2 linked regions of the Alligator mississippiensis genome follow. The protein of the gene in region 2 interacts with the protein of the main gene of each other region in a biochemical or structural test. Links are inferred from orthologs where the notes say so. Each region holds a gene or a part of one and is shown on either strand. Other genes may lie near its edges.

Region 1 (7,769 bases), on a different chromosome or scaffold from region 2:
CGTGGCGACTGCCCCAGGCGTCTAAACGAAGGGGGACAACAGGCACGAGGCTTGGGACAGAGCCATGAGTGGCTCTTTGCAGGGGTGCGGGGATGGGGGAAGGGCAGCTCCCACTGCTGCATGCACTCCCAGGCAAGGGGGGGGGAGGGGCCTGGATCTGTGCACAGGGCAAAGGTGGGCTGCCATTGCGGGTTTTGCCCTGGGCGCCAAACTTCATTGCTATGGCACTGCTCCCTATTTCCTCTCTTACCTCTCCTTCCATTTCCTTTACAAGCACCTTTTCTCTCCCAAACTTTTTTCTCTTCCATCCCCTTTCTCTATGCATTTGTCTTTCTCTCCTCTGTTGTCATTCCTCCCCTTCTCTCCACTGACAGAGTCCATCTCTCCTTAATTTCGACTTTATTCGTCCTTTGCCTGTCCCATACATGTTCTTTCCTTCTTCCACACTTTATCGGAGATATATTTTGTACCTCTGGGAGCAGCCTCCAATTGTATTTTAAATTCTTAATGCTTTGCATGTGTATTGCACTTTCAATGAGGTTTAATATACTAGATCTAGTAAAAGTGTTTCAAAAGTCAGAAGGCAGTTGGCTCCAGAATCTGTGCAGCCTATTAGGTACGTAAGTCGACTTAGGCACCTACGTACAATTCTGTTACACTCTGCGGGAGTCCCTGGAAAAATGTTAATGAAAAGGGTGAGTGGGTCTTCCTCCTGATCTCTGCTTTTTAAGACTTAGTCTTAAGGCTAAGATGACAGTGTGTTACAAAAGTAGCATGTTAATTGTTTTAGGAACTTGAGCAGGGTGGGATAAGATCACATTTGGGTGCAAAATAGATGGACTCAAATTTGGCCCTTTCTGTCTTTTCTCTCCTTTGTTTTTTCTTCCTTTTTTCTCTCTAATGTGCTCTCTTCCTCTCCTTCCCCTGTCTCTCTTTCTTCTCTGCCCTGTCACACTTCTTCTTGGGTGCCTGTACACGTGCGGGATGCCTGCACCAATGCGTGTTGGAGCAGACTCGATTAATTAAGTCTGATGGCGCATTCTAATTAGGATGCTTCAGCAGCATCACCATCATGTGTATTCAGCATCCCCGCATTTCAAAATGGCGGCAGGGGCACTTTAACTAAACTTGCTGAATGAGCTTTAATTAAAGCACCCTCGCCGCCATTTTGAAGCATGGGACACTGAATACATGAGACGCTGCAGGCATTTTAATTAGAGTGGGTCCCAAGATTAAAACACCCCTCTGGTCCCCCACCCTGAAGCATGTATATAGATGCCCATGATCATAGTTTTCCATCACTTTAATAGTAAAAAGACACCCCTCTCTTCTCTCCCATTCTTTATGTACTTTCTTTTTTTCTTTCTTCATTCCTCTTTTCTGCCCTCTCTTAACACTGCAAATTTTTCACAAAGCTTATACTAATTCCCCATGTCAACAACACTTTCTGTTGGTAGGGTTTCAAATACACAAGGGCTTTTGCCTAGGACTAGTTGGGAATTTTCTGGCAAAATAGCTTTTCAGCATAAGATGTTGACTCATCTGAAGCACCAAGTTTTTGCAGGCATGTACCAACTTGGATGTAGAAGGTAGAACTTCTAGTAAAAGAATAAAGCTCTTCCTAACTCAGTAGTCTTGTGGCCGGGCACTTCCCTGGAATTTAGACAGCCCTAGGTTTAAGTAACTGGCCTAATAAAGGGTATAATTTTGCAAGGTATGGATTTGCATCCATACTTAAACTACCAACTCTTTTAAACCATGGGACAGCTGAATTAGAATTGTTGTTTGGAACTGGCACTCAAATCAGTGTGGTAGATCTGTTGTCCCTACATCTTTGGGTAAGCTTAGCTTCCAGCTTCAACTCTTAACCTTATGTCTAATTATCATTCCTCTTTACCCTGCAGACCCCGTTAAACCCCTTAATCTCATTTAAGCAACCCCTTAAAGAGTGTGGCTGAATAAACCATGTCACAAGTGGATCTAGTAGTGAGATTCCTATGACAAAATTGTTATTACAGTTACAACTGGGTTTGGAGCTACAAATTTGTATCTAAATCTGAGCCCAGATTTTGGATTTCACAGCACTTACAGGAAGTTGGGGGTGGGGGTGGGAAAGGAGGGCCGGCTCAAGGCAAGGCAGGACTCAGAAATATTAAGAATTAGAAATATTCTTAGCCCATTGTGGAGATTAGTTGCAACATCCAATATCCTGAACTGTGCAGAGCATCTCCAAAATAGTGATTTGACTCCTCTCTCATTATTTTCAGTACTGACGTAAGAGACTGCTGGATTATTTTTGGCAAGTTAAGAAGGGAGAAAAAAATCCTTAACACTGGCAAAGGTAGTCTGCATGAGCGGGAAATTACTGCGTGAAGAAAATGTGTAATTTCTCCTAATCTTTTTCACAGAGCCAATTTTCTGACTAAAACTACTATTTACACCCGGTATCTGAACACTCCTGAACTATAGAGAAGTTCAGACTCCAAAACAAACCTTTCATCCTGTGCCCAACTGTAAACCCACAGCACTTTTGGCTCCTCTTTGTCCCTGTGTGACCACTAGGGTTACCATATTTCCAGTTTTAAAAAAGGGCACACCTGTTGGGGGGACACCTCATTCCCAACCCATAGCCCCCTGGTCCTGCCAGTGCCCCTCACTCCCAACCTGCAGCCCCTTGGTTCTGCCAGTGCACCTCACTCCTGACCCACAGTTCCTTGTCCTCCCCTCCCCTCCCACTGGCTATGCTGGTGACTCTCAATCCCAACCTGAAGCCTGCCCCCCCAGCCCTGCCAGTGCTGCCAGGCACCTGCCCAGCGTCACCCTCCCCCCCCCCCTCCACACATCCCTGCCCCTCCCCCCCCAACAGCCCCCAAGTCCAGGTCCTCCAACCCCGTTCCTTATAGACTTACCTGCATCCAACTGCCGGTGCACATGCCCTCCCCTGCTCCCACCAGAGGAGTGGAGCAAAATCCCAGACATCGGTTCAGATTTAAAAAAAAATGCCCAGACAGAGATGGGAGGACCCAAAAAGGGGACATGTCCAGGAGGACTTGGATGTATGGTAACCCTACTGATCATTCTAAGACAGTCACTGAAATGGGATTAAGATTCTTTCCAAATCAGATGAGAAAAGTTGATAAGAAAACATAAAATGGTCTTTCAATCAATGAGATGCGATCTCCCTTGCAATCCCCTCCAATACTGAACTGTTGCCACTTTCTAGACTCAAACTGGTTCTGTACCCAACAGGGAATTTACTGCTCAGGGTTTCTGCCTAGGATTAAAAGCCTGGCTCTTTGATTGAGTCAACCATTTTGCTATAGTTTGGCTGATGAAGGGGCTGTAAGGAGGGTGGAGGGTGAGTTTCTCTGGAACTGGAAAGAGCACGTAATGATTTGTGGTCAGGAACTGATTCCGGTTGTAGAGGCCAACTTTACACAGCAGAATCACTCAGCATGGAGAGTCTCTAGCTTCATATAGGGGGTGTGCTGTCCAGATGCATCTTTTGAGGTTTCTGTTTCTTTTAGAGGTTCCTGAGAATCTCCCTCACCTCTGAACACAGTGCACCACCATTTCATAAAGAACCTCCCAAACACAGCTAGCTCGTCCTTCTATAGCGGGGCTGGAGTGTTGCATTACTGTGTTGTCACCATTACAGGGCAGCAACAGCACACTATCTCAAGTCACAGCAAGGTAAGTTTAGGTTGGATATTAGGACAAAATTTCTCACTAGGAGGGTGGTGAAGCACTGGAATAAGTTGTCTAGAGAGATGGTGGAATTGCCATCCTTGGAGGTTTTTATGGTTCAGCTTGACAAAGCCCTAGCTGGAGTGATCTAGTTGGGGATGGTCCTGCTTTGAGCAGGGAGTTGGGCTCAATGACCTCCTGAAGTTTCTTCCAACCCAAATTTTCTATGATTATATATATATATATATATATATATATATATATATATATATATATAAAATTTCACTCCATCAGCAGACACAACACACGTGTAGATAGATAGATAGATAGATAGATCAGTGGTCAGCATTGTTTTTGGTTAGTGCCAAAAACACCCACAACCTCAACTTGTAAGATATTGGTGTGCCAAAGGCAGATGGCGAGGGAGCCGTGAGGGGCCTAATCCTGGTTGTGGCAGCACAGCCCCAGCCCCTTTCCTGCCATCCACCCTGAGGCATGCATGCCAAATCAAATGCCTTTGCATACCATGCTCTGGCACCCATGCTGGAGGTTGCCTACCCCTGAGATAGAGAGAGAGAGAGAGAGAGAGTGAGTGAGTGATATCTAGATCTAGATAAATAGATAGATACAGACACACAGATAGATAGACAGACAGACAGATGAATATTTAGACAGATGGGCAGGTGGATGATAGATAGATAGATAGATAGATAGATAGATAGATAGATAGATAGATAGATTCCACCTCCATCACGTGTTTCCAGGGCAGCAACAGCCCTACCAGCTCTTCCCCCCCCCGATCGCCCCCTCTCCTCCCGGCCCTCTCTGCCGGGAAGCGCAGCCCCAGCCCAGGGGAGGCGGCGCTGCCAGACGCTGCCTTGTAAGGGGCGCTGCGCTTGTTTCAATTTCCATCGATGCAAACGTACAATCCTGACATGGGAGGTCACAAGACCTCTGCTTTTTTTCCTCCTCTCAGCATCAGGCGAGACAGGCGGGGGCTCGTCCCTGCCCCGCCCCTTCACCAAAGCCATAAATAGCGGCTTTGAGTCATGAACCTCAGACCAGTGGCATCAATCCCAGGGCGAGTGTGCAGCGAAGACCGACCCAGCCAGCGCAGCGCATCGCGTAGGACCGCGGAGGAGGGACAGGGAGCAGGCTCGGATCGCTCCAGCACCATGGACCGCCCGAAGGTAAGGGCAGCACGGGGGGCTCCCCCAGCATCTTCTTGCCGCACCTGGTGCAGCCGCGATCGCCTTCAGAGAGGCGAGGAGCAGCCGGACCCCGCGGGGTTTTGCACGCCCAGCCCAGCCCAGCCGGCGGGGTTAGTCCGGCCCTGGGGCTGGGGGCGAGGTGCTGAGTGGCCCAGGATGCAGAGGCTTTGCTGTGGTCTGGGGGAAGCTCTTGCACCAAAACCAGCCCCCGCTACATAAGGTGGAGGAAGGCAATGGGATCGCCATCCTTGGAGGTTTTTTATTTCCAGGCAGACAAAGCCTTGGCTGGGATGATCTAGATGGGGATGGTCCTGCTTTGAGCAAAGGGTGGGACTAGATGTGACCCCCTTCTCATCCGAATGGTCTATGATGCTGGGATGAAAAATTGGTACCCTGGATTTTTTGGGGGGGGGGGAGGGGGCACGTACAGGGAGGGGTTTCTGTAGGGTTGTTGCAAGTCATGGCATTTGTTTGCACCTGGTGGGGGCCTGGCTTTCCAGGTTGTCCTTGCCTTGGCATCTTGTTACTTGGCACGAGATGTGCTTTGCTGGCTGAGCAATAGCTGTTTGGGCTGGCGTGGACCAAGATGACAGTGCACTCACGATAATGAAAGGACAATGGCTCTCACTGGGGTCCCCTCCCCTGATAAAAGCAAGTCATCTTCCAGTCTGAACAGATCAGGGTAGGCAGGATCTCTCCCTTTTTTGCTGCCAGAGGGCTCGTGAGCCTTTGTCAGCATCTCTGTGGACCTGCAACCACACGTGTTGTGTCTGCTGATGATGGAGTGAAATGATTCGCAGTGTGCGCTCCGGAGCATTAAAGATAAAGAAGGAGCAAGGAAGAGGCATGGAAAGAGACAGGGAGGGAGGGAGGGGATGCAACAGCCAACAGGGCTGTTTGATCCTGATGCTCTTTCAAGGATACCTGGGGGTTATTTTGTGGCATAAATAACCCAGTAGCCATCAGCAGGCACAGCCGGGGCTTTGGATACTGCTTCTTAAGGTAGCAGAGGAAAAGGGGAGGGAGGGAGCTGCCAGCCAGCATCCCAGCCAGGGTCATTTAGAGGAGAGTAAAGGAGCTGCCCAGCAATAAGTGGCACTCTTCTGGAATTGTAGGCTGTAAAATGGGAAAGCAGCTGATAGGAAATGGCTCCCTGGATAACCCACATGCAGGTGGACCTTGGTGATGCTGCAGAGGGGCAGGGGTTGTGCTTTGAATTCTCCACCCCAGACACACCCTTAGGGTGTGTGGATCCCACCCTGGTCTTTCTGAGCTATGTGGGTGCCTTCTGGGGAGGCTCCACTGGGAGTAGGGAATATACCTTAGCTTGGAGCCCTGCTTACTTCAGGGTATGGGTGGGACCGTGTCGTGTAATGAAATGAGAGATGGGATGTGTATAGACTAGAAAAGGCAGATGACATGGAAAAGAGTGGAGAACACCAGGGAACTGTGCCCACTGTGCTCCCCATTTGTGGGGATAAAGCATGCCCTCCTGTGCTTCAGGTAACAGGAGACCTGAACTGGACAGTTCATGGAGGGAACCATGACACAACAAAGCCCTTAGTGTGATTATGGAATGAAAAAAATGGGAGGTTTAGACTGTTTCCAGTCCCATGTACCTTTAAAGATGTGGTATCTTGGTCTGTCTGTTCTCAGTTCCTCGTCTGTAAAATGGAGGTAGTGATAGTTCCTACATCATTGGGGTGGTTGCAAGGTAAAGCAGTTAATACTTGTGAGGCAGCTGTGTCCAAACCAGTGCCATTTGGAGTCTGGTGCAGCATACAAGCTTCTGACCAGCCCTGGACTTGGCCTTCTTAGTCTTTCTATGATAATGCAGGGGGAACAGCTCTGAATTTGCAGCATTTGCAATCTCAAGGATAACTGAGGCTGGGTATGGAATGGAAGGAGGTACCACAACAGGCCTCCACAGTAGTCCCAGTCATCTGTGGTGAAAGCAGAGCCCAGCAGCTCCCCTTGTCAATACCTTTGGAGGAGTTCCAACCCCTACTGTGTGAGGCAGGAGGGGGTGTAAAGGGTAGACCTTCTTACTAGAGCCAACCCTAAGTGCTCAAAAATCCCACATAAGTGCCCCCCGCCTCCCCCCGCTTTGCTTTTCTTTGTAGCCTGAGGGCTTGGAAACTTGGTTTATTATTTTATTGAAAATGGAGATTCATTTGACTCCTGTAGAGGAGGCTTGAAGAACAAATACCAAGTATTGTGAGACTCTTAAGTTGGCAGTGATTGCCCTCTGGCCTGCAATACAGAAATCTGCCACCATCAGCACCCTGGTGCAGGGCAGCTGGGTCCCACATTGGGAAGGATGCAGGTCTTCATGGCAGTACAAAGCACCAATCCCTTTGGACTGGATTCCACTCTCATACGGGTGCAACTGAGATGCACTGACACAGATATCCAAGGCTCCAGTCACCTGGCATGGGAAGCTTTATGGAAGATTATACCTTAGTCACATGCCAAGAGGCAAAATCTACTTCTCATTAAAGAAGATAAGCCAAATATAACAGCCACTCACTAGCATAGCTTCCCAAAGAGACACAGATAGAGGATGGAGGTCAGGGGAAGCACACACAGGAGAGGACTCTTCTTCCTTATATTGGACATCAGTAATACTCTCTGAATCTTAGATAGGTTCCTGATCCCCCAGTCCCTTTTTTGGTCTCAAATGAATTCTTTCTTCAGTGGCTTGTTCAGGTACCCACTGGGTGCTTGTTGCTCCTTTTTCTATGTGTGCATTTGGATGATACTTCCTGACACAGTGTATCCTCCAGACAGACAAGTGTGGCTGTCTTCCTTGGTTTTGTTTAGATATATTTTTTTTTTCTTCTGGGAAGGCCAACCCAGGGAAAAGACCAT
Region 2 (7,256 bases):
TGAGGATGTTGCAAGCAGGCTTTGAAAATATCCGCCCCAGAGAAAAACAGTAGCAGAAGAAAGCCCTGATCCTGCCATTGGCTCCTGTCTTTGAAAATCTGTCACTGGAATGCAGCCTGGTGTGCACAGTAACCGTGCTGTACCAGCAGCACTACGCAAGGTTGTTTTCTTGATATAGGGATATCAGGAATAAGCTTTCCATGCACATTTTTCTCTGTAAACAAAACATAACTGGGAATACCAGAATGTTGTAAGCTTCTGTTTGTGCATTTTAAAAGCATCTTATGTTCTGTCACATAATTTATAGCGAGGGCACCAAACTCCCTTTGGTCCTCTCTCCCCCCTGGCCAGATTCAGACCCACCTCTGGTGGTGGGGTGAGTGGCCATGGCATTAACCATTGTGGGTTTCTGTGCCTCATGGTTTAATACACTCATTGCTCACCCCTCTGCTGCCAACACATGTCCTGACAGGCCTCCATACGCTCAAATCAGTGGTGGGACCCTGCGCTAGAACTCCCATCCCCTCCAGGTGCCCAGAAAGCCCAATAATAAAGTTCCACAGACCAGCCCTGGCCCAGAGACTGTATCTTTCACGTTACTGGTGTACAGGTTCATTGATTTTAAGGGTGCAAAGGATGGTTATAATTATCTACTCTGATGTCTGCATAATGGGGAACAGAGATCTTCACTCTAATGTTCCAGTAACTCATGGTCCTTCCACTGGGGGCTGTTGATCTTTAGGTCCCTGCACCGTCTCAGGCCTCCTGGAGCTGTCAGCCTTGAGTTGGGGTCCCTTTCCTCTGGGCCCTGTGCCCGGCACCCAGGGAACTTCTATGGAAGCCGAGCCCTCACTGGCTTCAGTTCCTGGCCTCATGCCAGGGGTCTTTCCCCTTTCCAGGCCCTGGTCTGGGCACTGGGGCTCTTTTAGTTTAATGCTGAACCACACTGAGGGGCTCCGGTTATCAGGCCTAGACCCAGGGCTAACTTAAGCAGCCTCGAGCTGCTCCCAAGGCCGAGTCTCCACGCACCGACCTATGCACCATGTGGGGCCCGAGCAGCCTCGAGCATGCAGAGAGCTGGCCCTGGGAGCAGCTCGAGGCTGCTCGGGCCCCACATAGTGCGCAGGTTGATGCGTGGAGAGTTGGCTGAGGAGGCCGGGGTGCCCAGCTGTTTGCCGGATTTGCCTCGAGTGCCTCCCAGAGCCTGAGCACCGTGCGCTGATTCAGGCACCATTGAGACTCAGGCGGAGTCCTGATGACGGAGTCACACTGGGCTTTTATTTACATTGGAGGCCCTGCCCCGAAGTCCGCTGGACCTGCAAAGCGCAGTCTTCAATCATGTCCAGGGGCTCCTTGCCCCCCGCTTCTGAGCAGGGGTGGGGCATGCCCCTCCCAGCTGTTACCTGATTGGTGGAAATGTTCCACCAATCTGAAGTGTCCTTCTCCAAGCCTGGTTTGCTGGGCAAAAGCAGTCAGCCTGTCACACAATCATGCATCATCACCCCAACTCTGTTCTCCATTTTTTGACAGTAGCCCTAGTTCTCGTTAAGAACCATGTTCCTTCCAAAATTGACACAGAATACCAAATGCATTGAGGGATCTTCAATCTGTTTTTTTTTCTCTCAATGATCAAAGTATTCAAAACAACCATCCTTGACCTTCAATATGCAGATGACTACACCACACTTGCACACACTGAGGAAAACATCCACACCATGCTGGATCTTTTTAAAGAAGCCTACTAAACTGTGGGCCTCTCAACATTGAGAAGACTAAAGTGCTTTATCAACCAGGCCATGAAGACAACCCCCTTCCCCAAATTACAATTGAGGGAAAGACCCTGGAGGTAGTCAAGCATTTCCCCTACCTTGGCAGCCACCTTTTTCAAGGAGTGAACATTAATGAAGAGTTCCAGCACAGGATCTGATGCACAAGTGCCTTCTTTGGGAAATTGCTTTGGTGTGTCTTTATTCATCAAGATCTCTGGAAAGACACCAAGATCTAGGTCCACAATGCAGCCATGATCCTCACCTTCCTCTGCAGATGTGAAATGTGGGTGATCTATGATCATCTCAAGAGCCTATAGAGGTATCATCAGCAATACCTCCAGAAAATCCTCCACATCAAACGGGAGGATTACCACACTAATGCCAGCATCCTTGCTGAAGCGAATGGTACCAGCATTGAGTCAGTGTTCCTCAAGCATCAACTTCACTGGACCAGACATAGTGTGCGGATGCCTGACTCTCGACTCCCAAAACAAGTGCTCTATTTCCAACTTAGCAATGGCCTGAGATCCTACAGTGGCCAAAGGGAATGCTACAAGGACACACTCAAGGCATACTTCAAGAAACAGATGGCAACATCAAGAGCTGGGAGGTGCTGGCTGCCAACTGACCCCAACGGCACCACAACCTCAACCCATTTTGAAGTAAAGCATCTTGCCCTCGAAGCAGAGAAGACAGAGTAGAGGAAGGAAAAGGAGAGGAATCCTTGCCTGCAGCCCACTCTCCCCTGCAGAAAGACCTACAACTCCTGCGGATGGATCTGTTGCTCAAGAATTGGACTCTTAAATCATCTCAAGACCCATCAGTGAACCATGGTAGAGACCATCCTTGAATCAAGGGATTGCCAATGATTTTAGTAATCCTTTACTCCTGAGCCATGACTCCACATGGCTAGATATCTGTAAAAATAGAAAAAGAACCAAATTACCTTCTGTTTTACCCAGAGACACAGATGCTGTTAATCTTAAATATATTGGTTTTGTTGTTCACTGAGATGAGTGGATCCTGTTTGTTAAGGATAAAAGGAAGATTTTTGAGGTAATATTTTTCATTGAACCAACTTGTAGAGCTAGATAAGACAGCAGATTCATGTATGCTGACAACATTTGATAAGGAGTGCTCTGGCTAGCCAAGCCACCCTTTGGGATGGGTACTTGGAACCATTGGTTTAGTTTCTTCAGAATCCTGTACATTTTCATTGAACCCTTCGCAAAGATGATTGATTTAAATTATCACTGGATTTATGAAGTTTTTGTGGGTATTTTGTCCAGAGATTTCTCAAGCTCTTGCAAGATGATATCGAAGACACAAAGGACAGATACAATCACATCCTGCTTCACTTCCCAGTTAAGTGGATCACCTATATGGCAGCTCTAGGAGTCTGCTAATATTCTTGATGCTGTGTGTGTTCAAGGTGCTGTTATGTCTCCTGTAGAGCCAAGAATAATTTGCATCCAAAGAGCTGGATAAAGTTTACAGGGAAAGAGCTTTGTGACCAGCTGCTTCCTACATCTGGCTCTCCTCATGCCCCAAGGCCCATAGCACAAGATTCTGAGGACAGGTACAGGGAACCAGCCAGACCAAAGCCCCATGCAAGGATCAAAGCATTGTAGAGGCATGAATGAATTAACCCTAACACTCCACAGGGGTGGGCAAGTCTGAGGGATGCTCATCCTCATTTTAGAGGGAGAGGGGACTTGAGGCAGGTCAGACTACACGAGTAGCAGAACTCAGAAGCCTGGTTATCCAGCACCCTGCTCTAAGCATCACCTTCTGCTCTCTGCTAACCTGTTGTCTGTTTAACTAAATGTACACCAGGAGAGATCAGGTGTCTTTCCCCTCTTTATTCTCCTAAGTTAATGTTTCCCATAGTTTTGATACTGGGGGTACACATTTTTATGGAGTAAAATGGGTGGCACATATCCGCTCCCTGGACCCTGCCGAGGTGTGTGGGGCTGGTGCAGCGTGAACCTGCTGTGTAGGGCCAGCTCTGCCAGAACCCGATCCTGCGCCACGGAGCGTGGCCGTTTGGTGGCGGGAAAGCGGCGGCCAAATATCGGAGCCGCCGGGACTGGGTGACGGCTCCTCCGGCCGGACCCCGCTGACACACACTTGGTGCTGGCGTCCTGCCACAGCCTCTGGGAACCGCTGTCTCAGCTCGCGCACGTAGCCGTGCCAGGGCGGCCGGGGAAGCAGGATGAGTCCGCGGGGCCTCTTGCCCTGGCTCAGGAGCGGCCGCGGCGCCGGCTGAGGCCGCTGCCCGCGGGGCCCCGGCGGCCGCGCTCGGGCGAGGTGGGGCGGGGCTCAAGTGCTGCGGCCGCTCGCGGCGCCCGGGCCGGCTGGGGGGCGGCACCCTGGGCGGGGAGGCCTCAGGCGGCGCCGCGGTGCCCGGGGCCCAGTCGCTGCCGACCCGGGCGGGCGGGAGGCGGCGCAGCAGCCGGTCCCGGAATGCGCTGAAGATGGCGGCGGGCAGGCGGGCGCCCAAAAGCGGGCTGCTGGAGCTGCGCGTCCCGGCCGAGCAGTGGCTGCGGGTGCTGGTGACTCTAGCCGAAGACTTCCTGAGCGTGAGCCCCGCCAAGGGCGCGGCCGCCGAGGAGCCTCCGGCCCCGGCGCCGCAGGACAGCGCGGAGTCCGGCGCCGCAGTGCCCGACGCGCTGGCCAACATCAAGCGCACGGTGCGGATCGTCAAGCAGGACGTGGGCGGGCTCGGCATCAGCATCAAAGGTGCGGGCGCGGGGCGGCCCAGGGGCGCCGAGCAACTTTGGGGCCAAACTTTGCGGCGGGTGCTGGGAGCGTGCCGGGCGCGGGGCCCGCGGAGCTGCTGTGCCGGCGCCGCCGCGGGCCTGGCCCGCGGCCCCAACGCGCTGCTGCCACACGCAGCTCCTTGCGGCGCTCTCCGCCTGCCTGGGACACGCGTCTGCTCGGGCTCGCTCCGCCGGTCCCTCGAGGCGGGGCAGCTGCCCGCAGAGTTCAGCGGGGGGCGGTTACCAGTCTTTATTTCAAAAACTTGGACGCTTCTTGTCGGGGGTGGGAAGAGCAAATCACTGCGGGAGGATGCTTCTGTCTGGGAGATCCCCAGGCTGCTCCGACCCGACTTCTTGGCTTGCCTGATGCAGCCTCTTCTGAGGCTGGAGGTAGAACCCAGCTGAGCCGGTTGGCTGCTGCTCAGAAATATCAGGCAAAAAAAGTTTAAAAATAGATGCCAGGGACAACGGGTTTCAACCGTTATATTTGCAGACCCCTAAAAATGTTGAAAGGCGGTGCAGGCACCTCTGACCTGTGAATGTGGGTGGTCACATACTTTTGACTGATCATAGTCATCTTTCACAGACCCCTTAGACATAGTCTGGGCCCCCAGCCCCCTGTGGAAACCACAGTTATGCCCCATACCTGGGGCAAGCAGAGCTGAGAATTGCTTTTCTCCCAGGGCTCTGCTACTGTTTCAATTAGAGTAGGACACATCTTCAGGCACTAATTTTGTAGCTCATTGGGTCTTTTTAAAGCAGGGGAGTCCTTCAGTGTGATAATTACTGTGGACATGTGGCCCATCTACATTTGTTGCACAATTCACGGTCAATTGCGTGATACATATCACATGTAGCAGGTCCCTCCTCCCCCTCTGTTTCTCTCCCATTCTGTGCCTTTGAATTTGGAATTCAGCTGTGTTTTGCAGAAGTGTTAAGGTGTTATTTGTCCTCCCCTTTGTAACTGAACCAAAAGGCTGTTCTACCTTTTTGCAGCCTATTAGCATCCCTTCATATTAGCCAGCACCAGGCAACAGATCTTGCTCCATAACACCTTGCCCATATCAGAAGTGACGATGAAAAATCCGCAGTCCACACCACTTGTCAGATTTAACCTTCTAGGGGGACTGAATTGTAAAGGCACCTCTGTCAACCCCATCAGCACGACTTGAAAGACCTCATTTGTACAAGTTTGCTGCACTAAGACACAATGGAGAAGTTGGCACAGTGTGTTGAAGGAGCTCTGAGTAATAGACAGTGTTAACACAAAATAAACCAGGTTTTGAAGGTATAATTTTCTTGAAGCGGCAGGACGCATTTATTTATTTTATCTGTTAAAGTTTCTCAAGCAACCTGGAAAAAGTGCAGCTTTGACCTTTAGAATCAAAGATGGAGGTAATGTACCTCTCCAGGAAGTTGAGTACATTCACAGAAGATGAAAGGAAGTGATTTTAGGAAAGCTAATCTATTGCCATGCCCCTTTAAAAGCTAGGTCCTTCCTTTAAACTTACACCCAGTGTTTTTCATATTTTTATTATGAGCCAAATGCAAGAGTGAAATAGAGTCCCTCCAAACTATGAAGATTTGGGGCAGAATCGTATTTTACTTTGTGTGCCCAAGTGCCAATTTTCCACCCTTCTAATTGAGAGTTTAGCGTTGACACAGTTTGCAATCCTGTCTCTATATAGCATGAATGTGCATCCACGTGACTACTGAGCATGTTTAATGTGAAGGTATATATGTTCCAAAATTTCAGTCTGGCAAAAAGGAGGGCCCCCTTCCCATGTTTTAGTGTCAAAGCCATCAGAAACAGGAGATTTACGTTATGGACCCCCATTCCTCCCATGCAAGATGGCTTATAAACCTGGATCTTTCTGACTTCCAGGATGGCGCGCTGGGTATAGGTGAGGCATTATTCAGCCGTTCTTCTGAACCTGAGTTGCTGTACTTTGTGTTTAATATTCAATGGATAAACAGGTATTTCTGGTGCACTGGGAGAAAGGGCCCAGATTAGAATATAGGATCTGCTCCCTTGCAGAGGGCCAGACCATAAAATAAATGCATAACATATGGCCTGGTGATTAGAACATTGTGCTTTTGGGAAGTTGAAGAGGTGGAACATGATCTATATACTAGATTTTTTGCTTCCTGGGTAAGTGTGTTAGCTACCCAGGTATGGGATGTAAAGCATGAGAGAGCCCCCCTCCTCCTTTTCTGGCATCTAATAACCTGCTATTTGTGGAGTAGCAGGTGGAAAGAATTCCATGACTTGGCTTGTGCAGAGTACGTGTGTATGGAGCTGCATATCTACCCAGCCAGAGTGCAGCCTGCCACACGTGTTTAGTAACTTTATGGATGGTTGCACAGTGCATGTGGACTAACTTCACAATTTGTAAGTGGCACAAATGGCAGTTGCACAGCTGGAAAACAGCCATTTGGGTGTATAAAGTGAATTAAGTTTCTTTCTGCCCTTGGTGTTCTCAACCCACAAACTTGGTCAGTCTCCCAAGAACTGTGGCTGGCAAGGAGTGGGGAAGAGGACAGGACATTTGCACAAGCTGAATAAAGCACAGAAAGCTAGCAGCTGGCCCAAATTCTAGTGGCAAAGAATGGAGACATAGCAGCATTTTGGATATTTGGGGCCAGCTTTGCAAGAGATCAACATCCAGCATTCCTTTCTGGCAGCCAAAGAAAGCAGACAGCTTTTCATCTGCTTTCAGGGGGC

Evidence for each region.
Region 1: the proteins of SNTA1 (region 2) and solute carrier family 2, facilitated glucose transporter member 3 interact in a test that uses a peptide from one of them, tested with the Homo sapiens proteins (2 studies listed by BioGRID and IntAct). The link is inferred for Alligator mississippiensis from reciprocal best matches to the Homo sapiens genes SNTA1 and SLC2A3.

What each region holds. Positions count from the first base shown.
Region 1 is NC_081827.1:148,010,239-148,018,007, reverse strand, and holds the start of solute carrier family 2, facilitated glucose transporter member 3, read left to right. Parts: upstream 1-4,721; 5' UTR 4,722-4,736; coding exon 4,737-4,877; intron 4,878-7,769. UniProt on the Homo sapiens protein: Facilitative glucose transporter. Can also mediate the uptake of various other monosaccharides across the cell membrane. Mediates the uptake of glucose, 2-deoxyglucose, galactose, mannose, xylose and fucose, and probably also dehydroascorbate.
Region 2 is NC_081832.1:27,973,737-27,980,992, forward strand, and holds the start of SNTA1 (alpha-1-syntrophin), read left to right. Parts: upstream 1-4,145; 5' UTR 4,146-4,246; coding exon 4,247-4,511; intron 4,512-7,256. UniProt on the Homo sapiens protein: Adapter protein that binds to and probably organizes the subcellular localization of a variety of membrane proteins. May link various receptors to the actin cytoskeleton and the extracellular matrix via the dystrophin glycoprotein complex.